Linked DNA regions of Arabidopsis thaliana. The protein of the gene in region 2 interacts with the protein of the main gene of each other region in a biochemical or structural test. Each region holds a gene or a part of one and is shown on either strand. Other genes may lie near its edges.

Region 1 (3,642 bases), on a different chromosome or scaffold from region 2:
TGACACTTTATTTTTACAAAGTAAATGTTGCTTTATAGTTTATACAGTATATAAAAAAAATATTTATTATGGACGAGTGCTATTTAACACTATGACACACATTTTACACACTTAATACATCTTAAAACAAAACGACACCCCAGTAATTACTGTTTACAATTTTGTCATTGAAACTATTTTCCAAAATATGTTCCAGATTTTGGCTATCTAGCAAACTAACCCCTAATTATAGAAAAGAAAGTTACCAATGTAAAGTTTTAGCCACACAAAAAGGAAAACCATGATAACCACAATAACATCTAATTTGATTTTCGAGTCATGTATCTTTTTACTCAAACCTCCATCCAGATTCAACACCATTATAGTTTGAGGATTTGATTCGATAGCAACTACGTTTGTGTTCTTCATTGAAATGTAAGTTTCATACTTTCGTTATCAACAAAAACAATGGTTATTCTACAAAACTAGAGCGTAAAAGTTATCAACAAAAACTTTCTTTTTCTCTTTCATTTGTGTTCATGGTTGAGTGGAAACATGGGACACATTGTTCTCAACTACTCATGCCTATCCAGTGACCATTTTACCAATATATCTAAAAATCAAACACATAGTTGGATGACACTAAACTACCACCAAATGTCTTGAGAAATAAGTAATTAAGAAGCAGAAGATGACATTAGAACCAAGACTAACATTACATAGAAGTTGTTCAACAAACCAACTCTCACATATTCATCCATAACCACAAAGATTCAAACCATGTTTACAAGAAACATAAACCAATACTCATAGAATTGTTGCATATAACATTCTTACTCAGGTGATGATAATGATTCACTTAACAAGCATGTTCTGAGCTTGATTCTCCTGCTGCTGCTGATAGTTAAGAGGCCTCCTGAATAGCATTATGTGCGGCTCAGGTCGATGAACCGCGTAATGTACCCATCCGCGGCTTTGCTGCACTCCTATCGCTCGCCATTCGTTCTTCGAAATTCCAAACATTTTTACCATCACCACCAATCAATACAACATTGAAGAGATTGCACAACACAAATGTCTAAAATCTCTTTATCACTAAACCTTACAAAATCCCAAAGCAAAGATTCAAAATCGTAACAGTTGCAATTTGGATTCAGAGCAAAGATTCAAATCCTAAACCTAAACGATCTCTTTTTCGATTTTTCCCAAACTTAATTTCTTAAGAGCAACAAATTTTCATAGTCTTCGATGATCTAATCGAAGGATTTAGAATCAGAAATCAGAGAACAATGCGGAAAAAAACTTACTTCGGAGAGAAGACGATTCTTTGGAAGAAGTTTAGCGACTTCAGGAGGAAGAACGACGTGCCTGTATCGATCGATTACGATTAGAGAAGTGAGAGTGAAAATTGGAGGAAGAAGAAGCGAGATTGAAGAGCTTTACCTGTATTCGAAAGTGTCATCGAAGTATTTCTCGGAGTATTGGATCTGACCCATTTCTCTCTCAGAGATGTGAAGCCTTAATCAGGAAATGGAGGAGAAGGGAAAGAGGAATTGAAGAATCTGTAATCTGATCGTTTGAAATTTGGGGAAGATAGTGAAAGGAGAATAAAGTGGTTTGGGGTAGATATGTAATTATGAGGAAATAGAGGGGTGTTTGATTAACTTTTTAGAGTTTTGAAATTCTTTAGAAGACGCCGATTGGGTATGAATGATTATAAACCGGTTAGTTACCAAAATGAATTGAAATTGGGTGGATTGGTTTGGTTCTAATTAAATTCAACAACTTGTTTGGTTGCTTTGACCAAAGACCTTGTTATTTACCATCAAACTACGAACTCGTTCATTTTCTCGAAATTTCATTTAATTCCAACAATCAGTGCTTCACACTAGGTATAAGATACATATCTAGTTAATTTATAAAAATGGCTCTGAATCTCCTGGTTTCAATACACTAATAGTAGTACAGTAAGGAATATATGGTGTTTGGTGAATGTGGTGATTGAGACACAATATGAGTTTCTTTGAATCAGTATCGCCATGAGAATCGTGATTAGACCTTCAGATTGGCATTGTAATGATACCTTGTTTGTTGTTCATAGTTATGGACTTAAGACTCTAAGAGGAGCAATAAAAAGAGGTTGAAATGATGAAACAAGCACATAAGCATGAGAAATAACGTCTTCATTCTTAACCATGAAGAAGTTCAAACGTGGATCCAACCAAAGTCTAGCAAAGGACCAGACTTAACATAACATTAAAAGTTGTTCTACCAAACTCACATGATTCTCCACTGAAGAGAATTCATGAACACAATAAAAAAAACTACAGGAACAAAACATCAGAGTAGTATTTTAAAACCTCGTTTACGAGAGACATAAACAGAGATTAGGGAGAATTTTGCATAATTCTTCTACTTAGCAATCTGAGCTTGGTGCTCCTGCTGGTAGTTAAGAGGCCTCCTAAAGAGCATGATATGTGGCTCAGGACGATGAATCGCGTAATGAACCCATCCACGACTTTGCTGCACTCCGATGGCTCTCCATTCACTCTACAAAACCAGATTGTAAAACAAGAAAACTGTTAACTTCAAAATCAGAAAACTGAGAATTGACTGATAACACAAAAAAATATCTAAACTATCTTCGTCACTGCTGACAATTACACAACCTAAAGTTAATAAACAAGTTAATGAGAAGCAAAACTTCAAATTCCTAAGCAGAAACTTCAATTTCTTCGACTCTCAAAAGTCCAAACTTCAATTTCCTAACTTAATTTCTTAAACATGTAAATCTCTTAGCCTACGATGATTCAAGGGTTATACAGCGAATAGAGGAAAGCCCTAATTTTTAACTTACTTCCGAAAGAATACGATTCTTAGGTAAAAGCTTAGCAACTTCCGGAGGAAGTACAACGTGCCTGAGAGAAAAATAAAAGACCACGCGATTAGACTGAAACTAAAACGTGAGAGAGAACTCCATTAAAATGGGAGGAGAATCAAACTGAGAATCACCTGTATTCGAAAGTATCATCGAAATATTTGTCGGAGTACTGGATCTGACCCATCTTCTTAAATCACCCAACAAACGTCTATTAAATTTACTAAACAAAAGAAATGGAGCAATCTGTCAGTAATCTAAACCCTAAACAACGACGAGAACCTAAACAAATCAGAAATCGAACCCTAATCTAAGAATCGGGAAGTAAAGCAGACCTTGAGAAGAAGTGCGATCGGAAACGAAATGAATTTTAGGGGAGAAGAGGGAAAGCGAAAGGGAATTAAAAAGGCATTGTGGTAAGGAAGTAATTATGGGGATTTATAGGGGCATTTTCTCAACGGGTGTTTTGATTTTTTTGAGTTTCAAATTTCTTAGAGGCGCTCCTTCCCGCTTAGTGGAGCCCTAAAATTTTGATTACGGTTCGACGTTAATCAAACCGGTATAATTCCCGGTTCAGAGATTCATTTCTAAAGGCATCAGTATCTTCCTCTTATAGTCAGAGTTCAGGTGTCCGTATACTCGCCGGCTTTGTATACCTCCTTTGTTCGATATATAAACATCAGTGACAAAAAGAAAAAGATTTCAGAAAATTGAATTTCATTTTTGGGCACTAATATACAAAAAAAAATTAGCTTCGGATAATCATGACTAAACCCCCAAAAGAA
Region 2 (4,520 bases):
AGATACCGAAGATCAGTGGATAGAAGGAAATGGTAAGAAAAATAACCCCTCAAGATAATATTAACCAGATATTATAACCTAACAAATCTCATTGATGGATATTGATTATTGGTGTTTTGTGGGATGATCCAGCGGGATCAATCAATATCAGCAATATATTGACTGGGAAATGCTTAGCTAAAATAACACCAAGCAGTGGGCCTCCAAAAGATGATGAGAGCAGCAGCAGTAATTGTATGGGAAAGAACTCAAAGCAAAGAAGAAACGCTGTAGCTGAAGCTTTGGAAGACATAACCGCTCTTTTCTACGACGAAGAACGCAATGAGATATACACAGGAAACAGACACGGCCTTGTTCATGTGTGGTCCAATTGATTTCACATACATCGTCATCGTTAGCTGCTACTACTACTACTACGAATGTATCATTTGGTTTCCTTCAATTGTGTGTAGCGATAAATCTTTTTAACTTAGTGTCTTTGAGCAGCCATCTGTGTTGTAAACCATTTGTGGGCAAGTGTGCGCGTCAGAATGCCAGTTGTGTACACTAATACCATTGTACGTAACATTTGGGTTTTGACAATTCTATGAAAGACCCTTTATTCCACCTGTAAGGTCTCACTTTAATTTTCAAAATTGACTTGATTCAGATAGTTGAGCATCAACTTTGTATGATTACACAAAAACAAGCGATTGATAGAAAATCATCTCATTGCTACCACACCATTGTGTTTTACATTCACTTGAGAATACAAGCTTTACCAGTTTCTTCTGAAAGACTACAAATCTCTAAACCAAACATAAGACACTAATGTGTCGGAAACAAAGATAGATCAAATGTTTAAATTCACCAAGACGATGACAACAGATACAGCAATGAACTTCAGAACTGAGACTTGTCAAGGCTGTCAAAATATGGGTGATCAAGTGCTGTTTTTGCTGAAATTCTTTCGGCTGGATTGTACTTGAGCATTTTCTGCAATTGTACAAACATAAGCTCAATCAGAAAGATTTAACCAAGCAATTCAGCTTAGGAAAAAAAGAGGGAAGCAGAAGCAAGAGGTAACAATATTAGAGCAACTTTGCAACAAAGCTATGGTCATCAGGGAGTTATTTACCGTGAGAAGATCAACTCCTTGAGGTGAAAGAGAAGGAACAGCAAGAGTTAAGTCTTGCGGCTCCCACTTAGGGTAAACATGCCAGTCACGCAGTGTGGAAACACCCGGCCATTGCTGCTCAGTTGGTGTTCCTAGCAACCTCCATGAACCAAATAGGAACCATTAGTAAAGATCATAGTCTCTATTCAAGAATGCTAAATCCATTGAATAATTGGTCAAAGAAACCTGGACTATATAGAATCAGTTGTTCTCAATTGGTAAGCTAGCATATCATTCAGTGATGCAATTCACACTGAAACAGGACAAAACCAGAAGAAGTAATGGAAGGTAAATTCAAAATACCTGAAGATATGAAGCAATTGCTGAAACTCAGAATCACCAGGGAAAAGAGCTTGCCTCCGAACCATCTCAGCTATACAAATTCAAAGATTGAAACAGCATAAATACAAAATCACATCGCAGAGAGACGAATTCAAAAACATAAAAGCATAATTGAGACTACTAACCAAAGATACAACCAACAGACCACATGTCAACACCAGTTGAATAATGAGTAGATCCAAGAAGAACTTCAGGAGCTCTATACCAAAGAGTAACAATCTCATGCGTATAAGACTTAAGAGGAACAGTAAAAGCACGACCAAGACCCAAATCAGCAATCTTAAGAAGCTCTTTATCTTTCACCAGAAGAAGATTCTGCGGTTTAAGATCACGGTGAAGCACACCATGACTATGACAATGCGCAACACCTTTACAAAGCTGAAACATCAACTTCTGAATCAAAAAAGGCTCAAGAGGCTTAGGATTAGGTCCTTTCCTATACGAATCGATGAATTTCTTAAGATCAGTATCGAGATACTCGAAAACGAGATAGAGATTGGATTTGGTAGATTGAGATTTGGTTGATGGTTGATGAACATGTTCGACGCAGAGTAATCGAACAACATAGATCGATGTTGATAACATCTGGAGAAGCGAGATCTCACGAAGAGCAGTTGGTGGAATACCTTCTTCGTCCATCTCGAGACGAGTTTTCTTCAGAGCAACAAGCTTACCAGTTCCTTTCTCCATCGCTTTGTAGACTTTCCCGTATGTTCCTTCTCCGACCTTCTCTAGCTTCTCGTACTTCTCCATTTCTGAGAGGTTTCGTAAAATTGAACTGTGTTGGTTTCTGGACTTTTGATTAACCCTATTATTTGATCAGATTAATGAAGATGATGGATTGTGAGAGAGAGAGAGAGAGATGCTTTCGCTAAGATACTTCCACGTCACTTCGTTTTTCCCGCTCCTTTGGATTTTGAATTCGTTCGTGACAACTGCAACAGATTAACCTAAAGTCGTGACCTCTGTGAATGTTTTTGGGGAAAACTAATTGGACTCACTTATTTTGGTCTAATCTGATATCTACTCAGATGATTTGCGTGAGTTGACGAGTTCAAATTCTTCACGAGTTATATCGGGAAGCCACATATCGATATCGAAACACCAATGGTGCGAATTAAAACATATTAATAGAAGATGAAGATTAGAACTTTCTGTTTCATGAAACAGATAACGAATGAAGAAATGTGATTTTGAACTTCAAAATGTACAAAACATTTTTTGAAAGCTACAAATTCCTATTCTCCACCAGCAATTTCTTCTTTTGCATCTTCATCAATTTCATCAACTTCATCTTTCTTGTCACCTACTAGCTCAGACACAATTTCCAGTCCTTTCTTTACTCTCTCTATCTCCTTCTCTTTCTCTTCCAGTTTCTCTTGCAATATTATCACCTGAGATTTATCAAAGTCACATATTTCCAACAAAACCATAATCATTCTTCCGTTTTAAGAAAAATCTTGAGGAATTAAGAGATAAGAGAAAAGGATCAACACCGTTTCATTTGATCTCTCAACATCATTAGTTAATTCCTCCATGTGTTTGTACAGTCCTGCATTCCACAAAAATCCTCAAATCCAAATTGCAAACTCTACAAAAATCTTTGCTATAACTTAATATCAACATATGACTTACCTTCAAATTGACTTCTAAGTTCCGCGTTTTGAGACTTCTGCATTGCAAGCTTTATTGCTAGTTCATGAATCTGCCATTCCACATGAACATAGGCAAGCATCAATTTCTTTACCCTTTTCAGGGAATCATGTTTTACAAAGGTTGAAGAAGACTACTGCTTTACTATATAATTCATATAATTCCAGATTGAAGACTGAGAGTAGAACAAACTATACCTTTCCTTCGGCAGCTTGGTGCCCAATCTCCTCATTTTCCTCTTGCAGGGTTCTGCACTTTGCCATAAGCATCTTTCCATTCTTGCTTTGAGGAGTAAAAGTAACTGCTGCAATGTTGTCCTGGAGTTCCTTGATCTTCTTGTCTTTTTCCTCTACTAGATTCTGCATAATAGAAACATGGAATCAAACTTCATCTACTCTTTACTTAACTGCAACAAATGTACATTAACAAAAAGTTGGGAATGTTCGTCCTCAACTGTATCTACTACGACAGTGTCAGCTATCAGTTATTAAGGAATTATTCTTTCAGGCCATTCATAACGAAAGCGGAATTTTGTTCCGTAGATACAGTTTGGATTATCTAAGGATATATTACGACAAATACATCCTTATGAAAAAGTAGTCTAAGGGTAAATAGAAACGAGTAGGTGCAGACCTTCAGACGTGAAAATTCTTCATGAATTGCTGGATCCAGTAACAACCTCCTCGCCTACAAAGGTAAACAAAGAATAAATAATCTACACTGCTATCTGATCATGACAAGCTGCTAAATGACCATTGCAATTCAAAATTTATAGCCATTTCTTCTATTCAGACTTGTTAATAATTCAGATGCCAGGTAAAGGTTTACAAGAAACATGCGCTTATCATCGTATTCAGACTGAAATCTAAAAGGCAAGGAAAAGGTTTCCCTCTACATGCATCAAGGTCGAGGATGACCGTCATAAAAGGTACACTACGGCATAAAAAGCGGACTATGCCTAGAAAAGTCCAAGTTACTTCAACAGCTAACTTTTTTCACGATTTGTATTGTTGGCACAATTGTATAAATTATTCCAGAATCAAAACATTGGGAGAACTATATACCTGCATTGACGCTGGCTTGAGTTGAGATTTCAAATCGCGAACAGCTGACTAGAAATACAAAATACAAGACTGTGTTTAGCGACATCTATTCTATGTAATGGTCAAGAAAACATGTGATAGCATCAGTCAGGAATCAAAGTGGTAGGCAATGAGTTTCTCGAGAATTACCTTCAATTCTGCCATTTCTTGTTCCCGTTTCGCATATTGTACAATGCATGACGCTTCTTTTCTCTTTGCGATTTCTAACTGAAAAGAGAGAAACAACAACCAAACCTTATTTGAAAATCAAGACCTTCATATTGATA
Region 3 (5,933 bases), on a different chromosome or scaffold from region 2:
AAAATGTTTTGTTTTGCAGTAAGTTTTTTTCTTTTTCTTTCACTTCTTATTTCCTTTTTTACTTGTAAAATCGTGTGCATACATATATAAATGGATAGTCAAAGATGGTATTTTTGTGTGGCTAATGTTTGAGGGGTTCGAGAGAGATAGAACGGTGTAGCTACGTTATGGTTTCGTGGTGAGACCACTTTCTCTGACATGGAGACAGATCAACATCACATGTATGCTACTGCTCCTATTAATTGTTCCTCTTTACTAAAATCAAGAGAGAAATTAACCACTATTTTTTACTTCTTTTGTAATTTGTTTTTTTCATAATTTGATTTTCTTTTGTATATTTACTGTTGTTAAAATAGGTATATAAAACCCTTAATCTTTTGCCCAAAAAAACAAAAACAAAGAAATGTGTTTAATTATGGCAAAAATGAGGAAGGTTATTACATTTTGAACATTAAATACTTTTTTTTTTCTTTTGGTCTTAAACAAATACAATTTTCTTTTGTCTTTTTACGTTCGTCGTTCAATAAAACATACACTCGATCCACAACACACATGTTCACATGCTTCGTGCTCCCACAGGCCACACCAAAATCAAATCTCACCACTACTCATATTATCCTCTCACGTAGCTATTAACCTTCTCCACGACCATTATTGAGTTCAATGTACTTTTTCCTTCATATAATAGAAACGTTTTATTTATAAAATTCAACCTTTCAAGAAACCAAAAAAAAATCATATATATACACATACGTGACACCTTACACGCATGCAAACGCTACTAAAACGCACCGTGACAAAACTCATTTGGAGTCCACGAATACGTAGAAATCAAAAACACAAAATTTCCCGCCAAAATAAAAGATTTGAAGAGAAAACAAACACGTGAGACACACGCCTCCGTCACGTGAAGTCACACACAAGGAATCAAAAATCTTAAAAATCCAAACAAAAAAACAAATTATATATACTTCGCAACTTGATTTTTTTTTTGTTTGATGATGAAGCTGAGGAAGGGTCCCATGAACTGCTGCGATCCATTAAGACAAAGAGCTCAGAAAAATCTCCACTCACAAATCTTTTGCAAACGCTCCCCTGTCTTATCCATCAGTACCTGTGTGATGAGGACTCTAATGCAAATACTCTTCTCTCTCTCTCTCACACACACACACTCACATGATCATATCTTTTCTCTAACACGTGTGTGTTACACTCACTTACTCATTTTGCTTTCTTGGGAATCTGCAAAGCCATTAATGATGAGCTTCGTCTCTCCCAACCAACCAACCAACCCCAAAACCCAATTTTTACCCTTTCCATAAAAGAAATTGTAACCAAAACTCTTATTCCTTCCCCTTGGTTGGAAAACTCTTAATTACTTTAACTCAGCCAATAAACACTTTTACTTTTCTTCATCACTCCCTTATTACTATGTACTTGTTAAAAAATATACTCTACTTAAACAGAAGAGGGTTTTTTTTCTTCTAGGTTTTGTTTCCTTGGTCCTCTACTTTCACTCCCCAAATTTTAATTAGAGGTAGATGTTTCATCACCTACCCATGAATAGCCACTTAATTTTCTCCTTTTACAAGGAGAAGAGGATGAGAAAGAGGATTCATCACTTGGCCTTGTTAACGTCGATGATGCCCTTACACTCACTCGAAGCTTTGCTATCACTTTTGGTGTATTTAACCGGTTATTCTCGATGGCCATCGCTTTCATCAGTCTATAGCATCTCACTATCTTCTCCTGAAAGTCAAATATAACCAAAAGACATTAATTAGCAATCTGTTACTCCCTTGTTCCATCTAAACGTGATATAACAAATCCTACTTTGCTCAATCCGTCACACCAAGTCTCAGGGCTCTCGTGGGGATTGACAACAGAGGATAGAGAAGGTAACTCGTTCGCTACACAGAGAATCGCGGCTGCAGCTATACTCGATGGCCAGTACTCAAGAAAGCTCGCTTCTGTACTAATTGGTCATGTGTTAGAACCAACCCAAAAATGTGCTACCTAAATGACATTATGGATCATATATCATACAAATATTACGTACCTTTTATGTTGGAGAGTATAATCTCTGTAGCATGGGAGATAAAGAACCCGAGAAAGGTACCCGAAGGATCGATCTTGTAAGCAAAGAAGCTAATGAAATCAAACGGTGTAACCGATCTTAGTCTCCAATCTAACACACTTAGAACAAGAAGTTCCATTCTTTTTATAGTTTTTGCTTCAAATAAATACTTCACTCCTGCAACCTACATTACATTATACAGAGATACATAAATTAAAGTTTCTTAAAAAAACAGAGTAAATTCAGAATGTTAAAGAAAGAATGATAATATATGTTTACCTGAAAATCAAAAAGAGAAGGAACGAGAATTTCCTCCATCTTTGCAGCTAAAGACAAGCATGCCACTGCTAAAAGTTGCATTGGCCAACCACTCGTTTCCTATTTTACAGAAATTAAAGCTGATTAATATAATCATTGATTACTATATACTCTATTAAGTTTAATTACAAAATTAATTTAAAATATTATATAGTAGTAGGAGCGTTTTAACACTATGATTACAAAGTTTTCAATAAAGCCGATATATGAAGTGGAAAGTTTACTGCAAAAGTATACTATTATTATGTAAACGTCAATGTAATTTTTTATCGAAAATATAAATTTCAATAAAATAATTAAAAAACGAAAAAAAGTTCCCCAGCCCGCTCCTGTTCTATCGTTTACGTACATTCCAATATAAGATTAATTTCTACTAAATTATTCTATACCGATTATAATTTTTTGCTCTAATAAATTTTTAGTCGTTTTCATTTTTTTCTGAAGAAAAGTCAATAAACAAATCGATCCATTGAAAAAAAAAAAGGGAAATAAAACTGACTTTTTGGGGTTGTTATTTGTCATATCAATATAATAAAAAAACAGAGACAATAGAATTAACTAACGTTGACGTTTTTAAAACATTTACCGGTAATCGACGAGCGTAAAGAAACCGATCCATATAGTTAACGGCGAGGTACGCCGTTAAAGGCTGAAAGTTATAATACGCTTGTACCTGTAAACCAAACAATACCACACTACTGTAAAAAAAAAGATTCTCTGCATGTAACGATTCGATCAGCGTATTTTAGCGTCTACACACTCTCCGGCGGCGTATTTTAGCATTGAAAAAAATGAGAGGTAGAGAAAAAAAGTGAATAGGCTCGCCTTGAGAATCCATGCGACGGAATCTTCTCTAGCGGAAGCATCGAGAGATCGAGTTTGAAATCTAGAGAGATAATCATGTCCAGGAACGAAGTGACGCTCGTCTTCGATAAAACAAGCGATAGAATCACCAGGCCATGAATCAACCTCGGAAGACGAGAAATCAACCGTTGACTCACCGGAAAACACACCGGAGTCTTCTCCACAAAACAAATCCATATCGTTAGAGAATGAAACAGACATGTGTAGATAATCACTAAAACGGTAACTCCTCATTCTCTCCCCATAACCGGAGATGAATCAAACCGGAGCTAGATAAACCGGTGAGATCTAGAAGAAGCGAGAAGAGAGAAGTGAAATGTGAGGTTTTTGAATTTTGTGTGGAGAGAAGAGTGAAGGTTTAACACATTCATTTGTTTGGATATATAAACAAGAAACAGAGATTTTTTGAGGTTTTAATAATTTTTTATTTAAATGTGTTTTTATTTATAAAAATGGTGTTGTTGCAAATGAAACAGAGAGACGGTTACCGTTTCCGTTATGCCCGAGAAAACGGGACTGTTGTCACTGTTCCATCAATCGAGACGGGGCTGGTCCGTTCGTTCATTGGGTTTTGTTTTGAGTTTTTTTATTTGTAGTTTATGTTTGTGTTTTTTGACTAACATGCGCTAAAGTGAAATGCGTAGGTTAGGAACAAGGAGTGGTGTAATTACGTAATACGTGGCAGGTTAAGACGTTGCATGAGTGAGTACATTACAGCTAATGTACGTTTGTTTGCATATTACTCGTGAAGAGAGAAGGCCGTACGTGTAATGTATTAATTGGTGACGTGTAATGTATTACTTGGTGATTAGCTTAATGGGCCTGGATTATGGAACATTTTCTGTGATTTGGACCATTTTGTTGGTCGCTTAGAAAGAAACATTTTTTCGTATTTAAGATTTGGACTTTATTACTATTGGTTAAAAAATAAAAGCATCGAAAAATAAATCAAAATTTTACAGAGGTTTTAAAGTCATGACGCTTAATCATACGTATATATATAAGTATTTGATTTGCTAAAATGCAATTTTTTTGGTTATTGTTTGCTTTTTATGTGATTAGATGTAAAACTCCTGAACCATTTTAGGCACATGACAAATGCTCAATAGATTTGAGGCCATTTTAGATTCAATGATGATTTTTTAATCGAATGTAATTAATTGATGTTTTGCATTATAGTGCAATTTTTTTGCTGTTTTCTTGAATTAACCGTATGATAAATCAGTTTTTTTTTTGTAATATCAAGTGAGGGAAGAAGATTCCAAATTTTAAGATTGGTTATCTAATTATCTTGAATTATAAATTAGTAGTTTAATTGAGATTGGTTAATCAGAGGAAAGCAAACAGTGGTCTGGAGCGTGTGGGAAAGAGTAGTGGAAGTCCTTTTCGTAGAACCGGAGATTTTCTTCACATTCCTTTTTGTATCAATATGTCATATTTATTTGGTCCCTTCTTGGTTTAATTATGCCATAAAAGTGTTAAATCATTGGCCCGTTTTTATTAATCACTCCCGTAGTTACTTTCTTTCACGTGTGCCTTACAAAATACTTTGCTCCTTCGATTTAGATTTTAGACTTTAATTATACCATTGGGATGATCTCGGTTTAGATTGTAGTAGATTTTTCGCTTACCTCTAATATATTTACCCCTTATTTTAGTTTTCAGGTGTATTAGAAAAAATGTTTCATATTTTTTTTTTTTTTTAACATTGTTTCATATTTGTTTTGTATGTGTTTTCTATGCAGATTTGTATAAATTTGTCAATATTTTCATATTGATAAGAATTAAAAATTATGGAAGAGCTAATATATAACTATCACTTGTATGTACTATGTAAATAGTTGACAATGCTTACGTAGATAACGAAATTAACATTGAGAAAATTACAATTCAACAACTACATTGTACCATAGAAATTAGAAACAAATGGGATACTTTTTGAAATAGAAGATAATATATTTTTGGTATCTTCGGCGGAAGAAGACCTTCTTCATTATTTATTTGTTATGGCTAGGTTGGGCTACTAATTCATTTCTCTGTTTAGGTAGACAATATTTAAAACATATGGCTTACATTCAGATTTGCATTCACATTTACAGTTAAATTAACATTTTTATCATGCAGTATATGTTTATTTATATTAACATTAATGAAGTCAAGAAACTGAAATTTGAAAGGAGGGAAAATATGCACCTCCCAACCTACAACAATTTATCAGACTGACTACATTCTCGTGGTAGGGTTCGTCATTTTTGTTAATGTCTTATTTTCTTAAAGAAAATCAAGACGATTCATGGGAGCTATTGCCTTATAGTCAATGATCGTTGTTGAATGGTTATTTCAGATCTAATTATATGGTACGTATGATATCACTAGACATGATCTTATACTATCATCGTCACATTAATTGATACTACTCGTTAAGAAATGTTTTTTTTCGTTCTCCTGTAGCATAGTCAACTCGGACCCTATTGATATACTCTTGCATATGTAATCATAATAATGCATTTTTTTTTGTTATATACAATGATGATCATGAGTCCATGTTGAGTTACTAGAAATATAATGAATAGTTAACAAGTGGGTCGAGTCATTTTCAGCAATATATGTTTTTTTTCTCTACATTGAGTTAGTTTTAGGAAACATTTCTAGAATCCTCTTTTTAAAGGAGAAC

What was found. The genes of interacting proteins can lie anywhere in the genome.
Region 1: the proteins of CDKB1;1 (region 2) and CKS1 form a complex in vitro, tested with the Arabidopsis thaliana proteins (one study listed by BioGRID).
Region 3: the proteins of CDKB1;1 (region 2) and CYCD1;1 form a complex in vitro, tested with the Arabidopsis thaliana proteins (one study listed by BioGRID).

The regions. Positions count from the first base shown.
Region 1 is NC_003071.7:11,910,069-11,913,710, forward strand, and holds CKS1 (cyclin-dependent kinase-subunit 1), read right to left. Parts: upstream 1,735-3,642; 5' UTR 1,476-1,734; coding exon 1,423-1,475; intron 1,348-1,422; coding exon 1,287-1,347; intron 985-1,286; coding exon 835-984; 3' UTR 501-834; downstream 1-500. Other genes in the region: CKS2 (CDK-subunit 2), read right to left, coding at 2,392-2,529, 2,837-2,897, 2,992-3,044. UniProt on the Arabidopsis thaliana protein: Associates with cyclin-dependent kinases (CDKs) and plays an essential role in the regulation of the cell cycle that affects plant growth rate. May inhibit both the G1/S and G2/M phases.
Region 2 is NC_003074.8:20,057,613-20,062,132, reverse strand, and holds CDKB1;1 (cyclin-dependent kinase B1;1), read right to left. Parts: upstream 2,463-4,520; 5' UTR 2,252-2,462; coding exon 1,624-2,251; intron 1,530-1,623; coding exon 1,460-1,529; intron 1,257-1,459; coding exon 1,118-1,256; intron 976-1,117; coding exon 883-975; 3' UTR 645-882; downstream 1-644. Other genes in the region: AT3G54190 (Transducin/WD40 repeat-like superfamily protein), read left to right, coding at 1-32, 133-374; FIP37 (FKBP12 interacting protein 37), read right to left, coding at 2,737-2,892, 2,995-3,050, 3,134-3,203, 3,349-3,510, 3,785-3,838, 4,216-4,263, 4,384-4,461. UniProt on the Arabidopsis thaliana protein: May control G2/M (mitosis) phase progression. Plays a role in regulating seedling growth in darkness via regulation of hypocotyl cell elongation and cotyledon cell development. Plays a role in stomatal development. Required to suppress endoreduplication.
Region 3 is NC_003070.9:26,437,575-26,443,507, reverse strand, and holds CYCD1;1 (CYCLIN D1;1), read right to left. Parts: upstream 3,953-5,933; 5' UTR 3,856-3,952; coding exon of another isoform or gene 3,712-3,855; 5' UTR 3,494-3,711; coding exon 3,221-3,493; intron 3,069-3,220; coding exon 2,982-3,068; intron 2,456-2,981; coding exon 2,357-2,455; intron 2,262-2,356; coding exon 2,060-2,261; intron 1,971-2,059; coding exon 1,834-1,970; intron 1,750-1,833; coding exon 1,528-1,749; 3' UTR 501-1,527; downstream 1-500. Other genes in the region: AT1G70209 (uncharacterized protein), read left to right, coding at 3,712-3,855. UniProt on the Arabidopsis thaliana protein: May activate cell cycle in the root apical meristem (RAM) and promote embryonic root (radicle) protrusion.